Nothobranchius furzeri: one gene and its partner. The protein of the gene in region 1 purifies or fractionates together with the protein of each later gene. This does not show direct contact. Links are inferred from orthologs where the notes say so. Each region holds a gene or a part of one and is shown in the gene's direction. Other genes may lie near its edges. The genes, in order: nphp1 and nphp4.

Region 1 (3,825 bases):
TTTTTTTATGTTTGGAGTGTTAATAGTAGTTGTAGAGACCCACACGGCAGCACAAAAGGGTGCAGAATGTGAATTTTACATAATATGTCCAACTAAAGAGGGAAGAAACACAAAAAAAAAGAAGTCTGAGAGACTTATTATTAAAATAATATGCCTCCTTAGGTGCCTTCTAATGTGTAAGGGTCATGAAACCTGTTTCCTACTCTTTTATCTCTATTGAGTCCTGGTTCGTTATATTTTCTTCTTTCAGAAGGGGGAGGTGTTGACAATAATTAAGAAGACAGCAGACGGATGGTGGCTGGCTCAGGACAAAAAAGGCAACAAAGGAGTGGTCCCAAAAACCTTCTTACAGGTACAGTATCAAATGTTTCAGCATCACAATCCATTCGTACAGATATTAAGCTAAAGATCTTATTATAAAACATTACCAATGATATTCATCTAAAATCTCATGTGGCTGTAAATACAGGGAGAGGTCAGTGTCTCTTCTTTTTTAAACAAACAGAATTCTAAACAATTTGATTTCACCCTGTGTATTAGCCTGGCTCTCGTGTTGGTGATGAGGATGATGACGAAGAGGACAGTGATGAAGAGGATGATGAAGATGAGTTAGAGGAGAAGGAAGAGGAAGTTAGGGAAGAAGTGGCTGATGGTCGAGACAGAATGAGGTTTTTTTTTCGTTTCAAGTGAAATATTCAGCATCTGGATTGTTTTACTTACAAAAACAAAAAGCGATAGTTTAAACTTATTTATTTATTTTATATATGATTTATTTATAATTTTTTTAATGTGTTTAAATAAAAAAATTTTACATTGCATTTGATTGGAATGTATTTATTTTTCTTATTTTTCTTTGGCAACAGAGCTTCCAACTGGTCGACAGTCAGAAAGGCTCTGACTCAGGTAAAACTGAACACCTGTCTCTTTAAATGATGAAGTAAAATCTTACATAATCTAAAGGGTTTCCCCCGATGGTCTTCTCTGTGTGAAACAGATTGATACCACAGATGTGCTGTCAGCTATGGGAGCCATACCATCGGGATTCAGGCCATCAACTCTTAGTAAACTGCTGGAGGAAGGTCAGTTTGCTGCAGGAGTGTGGAGTTTTGAACCTACTAGTTGATGCTGAAAATGGCGTAACTCCGTAACAAGTCTCAAAACAACTTGCAGGTGGACAAAATATTTTCATTGGTTAAATATTTATTTACTCTCATTTGGTGGTTTTGAAAATCCTTTAGCCAAAAACAGACCAATACAAAAGTATAATATCTGTTTTACATTCGTTTTGTTTGATCCGTTAAATTCCATTGCTTGGTTCTTATCTAAACAGCGCAGTAAAGATCTGTTTTTAACTTTTAGGCTGACAAGTTTCGGCTAATGCTGCGGCCTTCCTCAGAGCACCGCAGATGTTGGTGGGGTCACTTCCTTCTTCGTTAATCCGTTTAAGAAATGGAGAAGGAAGTGACGCCACGGACATCGGTGGAGCTCTGAGGAAGGCTACAGCGTTAGCCGAAACTTGTCAGCTTAAAAATGAATGAAAAATACACGATACTCAATTAAGCATCATCCTCTAGAATGAACCCTCACATTTCATGTATCTGGATGTTTCATGCTTTAAATATTAGGTTGTAAGAACCTTAGTACACTGTAAACCCGGTTTAGTTGAGTTTACTAAACATTCCTGTTCCCCTCGAACCATGCAAGTTTTACAAAATGCTGAAAGTAAACAGATTTAGTTCAACTAACATGGACGGCCGTTAGTCTCTTCTAAAAATGATTAATTCAATTAAGTATTTTTTTAAATACTTAAGTGAATTAATTAAAAAAAAATTTAATACTTAAGTTGTTTGAAATAACTACAGGTGCTGGCCAGTAAATTAGAATATCATCAAAAGGTTGAAAATATTTCAGTAATTCCATTCAAAACGTGAAACTTGTACATTATATTCATGCAATGCACACAGACCAATGTATTTCCGATGTTTATTACGTTTAATTTTGATATTTATAGGTGACAACCAATGAAAACATCAAATCTGGTATCTCAGAAAATTAGAATATTCTAAAGGCCAATGAAAAAATGTTTGTTTCTCTAATGTTGGCCAACTGAAAAGAATGAACATGAAAAGAATGTGCATGTATAGCACTCAATACTTAGTCGGGGCTCCTTTTGCCTCAATAACTGCAGTAATGCGGCGTGGCATGGACTCGATCAGTCTGTGGCACTGCTCAGGTGTTATGAGAGCCCAGGTTGCTCTGATAGTCGTCTTCAGCTCCTCTGCATTGTTGGGTCTAGCGTATTGCATCCTCCGCTTCACAATACCCCATAGATTTTCTATGGGGTTAAGGTCAGGCGAGTTTGCTGGCCAATCAAGGACAGGGATACCATGGTCCTTGAACCAGGTGCTGGTGGTTTTGGCACTGTGTGCAGGTGCCAAGTCCTGTTGAAAGGTGAAGTCTGCATCCCCATAAAGTTGGTCAGCAGCAGGAAGCATGAAGTGCTCTAAAACTTCCTGGTAGACGGCTGCATTGACCCTGGACCTCAGGAAACAGAGTGGGCCAACACCGGCAGATGACATGGCACCCCACACCATCACTGACGGTGGAAACTTTACACTGGACCTCATGCAACGTGGATTCTGTGCTTCTCCGCTCTTCCTCCAGACTCTGGGTCCTTGATTTCCAAAGGAAATGCAGAACTTGCTTTCATCAGAAAACATAACTTTGGACCACTCAGCATCAGTCCAGTCCTTTTTGTCCTTGGCCCAGGCGAGACGCTTCTTGCGCTGTTTCTTGTTCAAGAGTGGCTTGACACACGGAATGCGACACCTGAATCCCATGTCTTTCATGAGTCTCCTCGTGGTGGTTCTTGAAGCGCTGACTCCAGCTGCAGTCCACTCTTTGTGGATCTCCCCCACATTTTTGAATGGGTTTGTCGTCACAATTCTCTGCAGGGTGCGGTTATCCCTAGAGCTTGTACACTTTTTTCTACCACATTTTTTCCGTCCCTTCGCCTGTCTGTTAATGTGCTTGGACACAGAGCTCTGCGAACAGCCAGCTTCTTTAGCAATCACCTTTTGTGTCTTGCCCTCCTTGTGCAAGGTGTCAATGATTGTCTTTTGGACAGCTGTTAAGTCAGAAGTCTTCCCCATGATTGTGGTGCCTTCAAAACAAGACTGAGGGACCTTTTAAAGGCCTTTGCAGGTGTTTTGAGTAAATCAGCTGATTAGAGTGCCAGCAGGTGTCTTCTATATTCAGCCTTTTCAGAATATTCTAATTTTTTGAGATACCAAATTTGGAGTTTTCATTAGTTGTCACTTATGAATATCAAATTTAAATGTAATGAACATTGGAAATACATTGGTCTGTGTGCATTGCATGAATATAATGTACAAGTTTCACGTTTTGAATGGAATTACTGAAATATTTTCAACCTTTTGATGATATTCTAATTTACTGGCCAGCACCTGTATATTAAAGTGACTGTGTGTATTTTTCCTGGCTACAGGGGGCAGTAGATACCTAAATCGTTGCAAGCAAGCAGTATTTTTGTGTTGGAGTAAGACCTTACCAATGGATGATCATTAGAGTCAAAAAGCCCTGGGGAGTGCAAACCTTAGCAAAATAACAAGCACATCAGACTCCCTTTCATCACTGGCAACAAGTGGAGGTAAATGTGTAAAACAACAACATTTAACAATGATGAAAGTTTTGCAACCATCTGTTACAAATAAGTAAATGTATTTTGTCCTCATGGGCTCCCGTAGAAGGAAACATGGCATCTAATACGGCGTTGCCCAGATACTTAAACCCGCTCCCATGTAT
Region 2 (3,825 bases), on another chromosome or scaffold:
TGTGTGTGTGTGTGTGTGTGTGTGTGTGTGTGTGTGTGTGTGTGTGTGTGTGTGTGTTTGTGTGTGTGTGTGTGTGTGTGTGTGTGTCATACTCCTGTCCCACTTCTGCCTGCCTGTGGCTGTGAAGGATGTGGTGTAGCCAGACACTATCAGGTTAGCTCACTGGCAGTCAACCCAGTTCCTCCTTGATAAGGAGTCTTGCGGGGTGGGGGTGGGGGGGTGTCTTGGGACAAAGAGTCATCAAAGGAGTGGAAAACAGAAAGACAAGCAGATATGGTAGAGCGCAACAGAGTTTATGTATAAGCTCAAGTCTGAGACGTGTACTCAGGCGGGTTAGTGACCACAGTGGTGCATTCGTCATAATCGAGTCAGATTATTTTAAGTCACTAATAATTACAGAGATGGTTTTGCCATCTGATGCTCTCTACTGAACCTTCAGCTGACACCTAATTACCATTTAGTAGCCATTTTTCATCATCTATGTCCCCCTTAGCGTTTAGAAACATACGTACAAAGAAAGACGATGAATACTTTTCCAGACCATTTCATTAGAAATTCCTCATTGGAGGTGTGCCTTTTCATGGGTGCGTTTGATGAAACTGATTTTCATGTGTTATGTTGTTTGTGACTTATGACAAGGTTATCAAGTATGCGTCTCAGGCTTCAATAGTTCTCATGTACTTAGAACAAAGCGAGATGGTGGCGTCATTTTGTCCATCTTTTTGTAGCGTCCTAGGATTGACCCCATTCTTCTGTCAGAGATTGTCCCACCCGCCTTGCCTGCTGGTGGTGGTCAAAGGGACTTGATCTGTTTTAACATTTCCAACATTGTTTTTATATTCATATGTGATTTAAAATAAAAAGAATTGACAGCTGAAGAAGGCTCAAAACCATTAACAGGAAATGTGAGGTCACATTGATTTAGGACACAAAAACAAACAAAATGCACACTTAGATTGGCATCAATAAATCAGCTGCAAATGAAAACCTCAAGAGAAAGCAAACACACCTTTAGAGATGTAACTTTTGTGTAGAACAGCGTAGAAGTGGGTTATAGCACAAGAAGGGTTTGCAGAGAAGTGTAGAAAACTGATGAGGGATCAGCAGAGGTCTGATGTCTGGTGTAAAGCAAACACAGCAGGTAAAGTTCCTAAAGAGCTAAAATAAAACACCACTTACATCTCATCTCTCTCAAATCAAATCAAATCACTTTTATTGTCACGTCACATGTGCAGGTATACTGGTACAGTACATGCGAGTGAAATTCTTGTGTGCGAGCTTCACTGCAACAGAGTTGTGCAAAAATACAGTAACGTAAAAACAAGCTAAATATAAAAATGGCTAATCTAAGTAATAATATGTATAGTATGAAAGGTTAATAAATGTGTGTGCTAGTATTTTATTTTATTTTATTTTCTGTCCCCATATATGGATCTACTTCTTGATTTTTTTCCGCCTGCCTCATTTAATTTTTGGATTCATGGCTCCTTTCAGCAAGTTCTGGTTAATTCCCTCCATTGCTGCAACGTGGGTTTTAAAACATGGCTGCAAACTAAAGTAGTGAAGTTTTGAGCTGCACTCAGATACAAACGGAGTGCATTACATGTACATTATGTAACATTACTTAATATTTAAGACTAGAGTTTTTTTTCTGCTTAGGGAATAAATTCTTCATGGTGGCCTCGGTCTATTTCACAGCCGGCAACACCGCACAAGTACACAGGCTGAAGATGGATGAAGATCACATGCGGTTGTACAGAGACAGGATCAGAGCGGATGCTGTCATCCCTGAAGAGCTAAACCTAAACTCGCAGCGCCGGAAGCTGGAGTGCATGGCTGCCGTGCGTCGACGAGAGGCCAAGGAAAATTCTGAAGCAGCTGAATCTTTGGTGAGGTCAAACTATGATCTAAAAACACAAATATGCTTGTGTCAAACTTATATTTTGACAATTTTTAGCTGTTTTGCTGTCTAAAATGGATAAATACTTACTGTTTTACAGCAGCAGAAATCTGAGATCATAAATTGAGTTTAACTCTCAAACATTTTCTACAAAACCCACCGTTATTACAACTCCCAAAACCCTGCAGGTGTTTGCGCCGCACAAAGAGAAATGAATAATTCCTCTTCCTAGAAGAACTTTCCTCTCACCTTTGGGTCACGTGTTAAATGTCATTTTGGCAGCAGTGCAGGTGTGCCTTTAACATTTTACACCAAACGTTTCTTCTGGGAAGACCCGTGTTTTAGTAATTTCACAGCTCTGTGATGGCCAATTCTGTGTGGGATAAAGCTGCTCACGCAGAAACAAGGCCGTTACACTAGCTCTAAAAATCAATTTGGCTTTTATTTTTACTGATTGATAACCACAACTTTATTTGAAACAGTCTCATGCTCAGCGGTTTCACTGGCTCTAGCTGTGTGGATAATCTGAGTAGAATTTTCTTATACACTCGACTTTCTGCTCTCACATTTTAAATTACATTTAAAGGAGCAATTTCTGAGAATTCTACAGTGAAATAATCTCAAAACACTGTAATGTTTTAATCATGTTGGAAGGAAGGTTACATGGAAACAGATTTATTTATTTATTTATTTATTCAAAAAAAAAAAAAACTAAAGAGGGACGTAGTTACTGTTTACCGTTAGTGAGCCTGTGAGGTTGCAGAGTTAACTTTGCATAGCCAGTTTTTGTGATTCAACACCAGCAGGTAACAAGCTCCAGAGTTAAAGAACTGAAGCCAGTATGTCAGAGCGACCCAGAAGTTATTTCTTGTACCCCTAAGAATTAGAAGCCAGTACTCGGCTCTAAAAACATCTCAAGCTACCTTTTCAATTACCAACAGCTTGATGTTACAGTGAAGTGAATCATGAGTCAATCGTGGCTTTTTACTTCCTTTAACAAGTCATTCAGAACTAGTTTCTAGCTAAAAGCAAGTCAGCAAATAACCACACTTCCTCTAATACCAGAGGCATATTACCGTAATAATTGTAGTATGTGTTCCCTACCGAAAAACACCCAATAGTGCTAACACCAGATATAAAAATGTATGTAATGGATTACAGGCTTGTCTTTAAGACATAAAAAATTGGATGACTCAAAACTTTTTGCTTTTAAATCAAGACAAGATGGAAGTTCTCATCTTTGGACCTGAAATTCAGAAAAGGAAATTGCTTAGTCAATCACCTGACCTGAATGGCATTAAATTAGTCTCCGAGAACAAAGTAAGGAACCTTGGTGTTATCTTCAACCAGGGCATGTCATTCAAATCCCACGTTAAACAGGTTTGTAGGATTTCCTTTTTCCACCTTTGGAATATTGCTAAGATTAGAAGCATCCTTTCCAGGAGAAATGCTGAAAAACTAGTTCATGCATTTATTACATCAAGACTGGATTACTGTAATTTATTACTCTCAGGAAGTCCACAGAATGTAGTTAAAAGTCTTCAGCTTGTCCAAAATGCTGCAGCTAGAGTTTTGATGAGAATTAAAAAGAGAGGTCATATCTCTCCTGTCTTAGCTTCCCTACATTGGCTGCCTGTTAAATTCAGAATAGATTTTAAGATCCTGCTTCTCACATATAAAGCTCTTCCTCCATCATACATCAGTGATCTGATTGTTCCATATGTTCCTAACCGAGCACTTCACTCTCAGATTGCAGGTTTACTGGAGTTCTCAGAATTTCTAAAAATAGGATAGGAAGCAGATCTTTTAGTTATCAGGCTCCTCTTTTGTGGAACCAGCTCCCAGCTTTAGTCCGTGAGGCAGACACCTTGTCTACTTTTAAGACTAGGCATAAAACATTTTTATTTGATAGGGCCTATGGTCTG

Evidence for each region.
Region 2: the proteins of nphp1 (region 1) and nphp4 purify together in Homo sapiens (co-immunoprecipitation; 6 studies listed by BioGRID and IntAct, with this or other methods). This does not show direct contact. The link is inferred for Nothobranchius furzeri from reciprocal best matches to the Homo sapiens genes NPHP1 and NPHP4.

The regions. Positions count from the first base shown.
Region 1 is NC_091752.1:27,154,017-27,157,841, forward strand, and holds part of nphp1 (nephrocystin-1), read left to right. Parts: intron 1-250; coding exon 251-352; intron 353-540; coding exon 541-668; intron 669-863; coding exon 864-903; intron 904-994; coding exon 995-1,079; intron 1,080-3,825. UniProt on the Homo sapiens protein: Together with BCAR1 it may play a role in the control of epithelial cell polarity. Involved in the organization of apical junctions in kidney cells together with NPHP4 and RPGRIP1L/NPHP8. Does not seem to be strictly required for ciliogenesis.
Region 2 is NC_091755.1:34,971,104-34,974,928, forward strand, and holds part of nphp4 (nephrocystin-4), read left to right. Parts: intron 1-1,659; coding exon 1,660-1,889; intron 1,890-3,825. UniProt on the Homo sapiens protein: Involved in the organization of apical junctions; the function is proposed to implicate a NPHP1-4-8 module. Does not seem to be strictly required for ciliogenesis. Required for building functional cilia.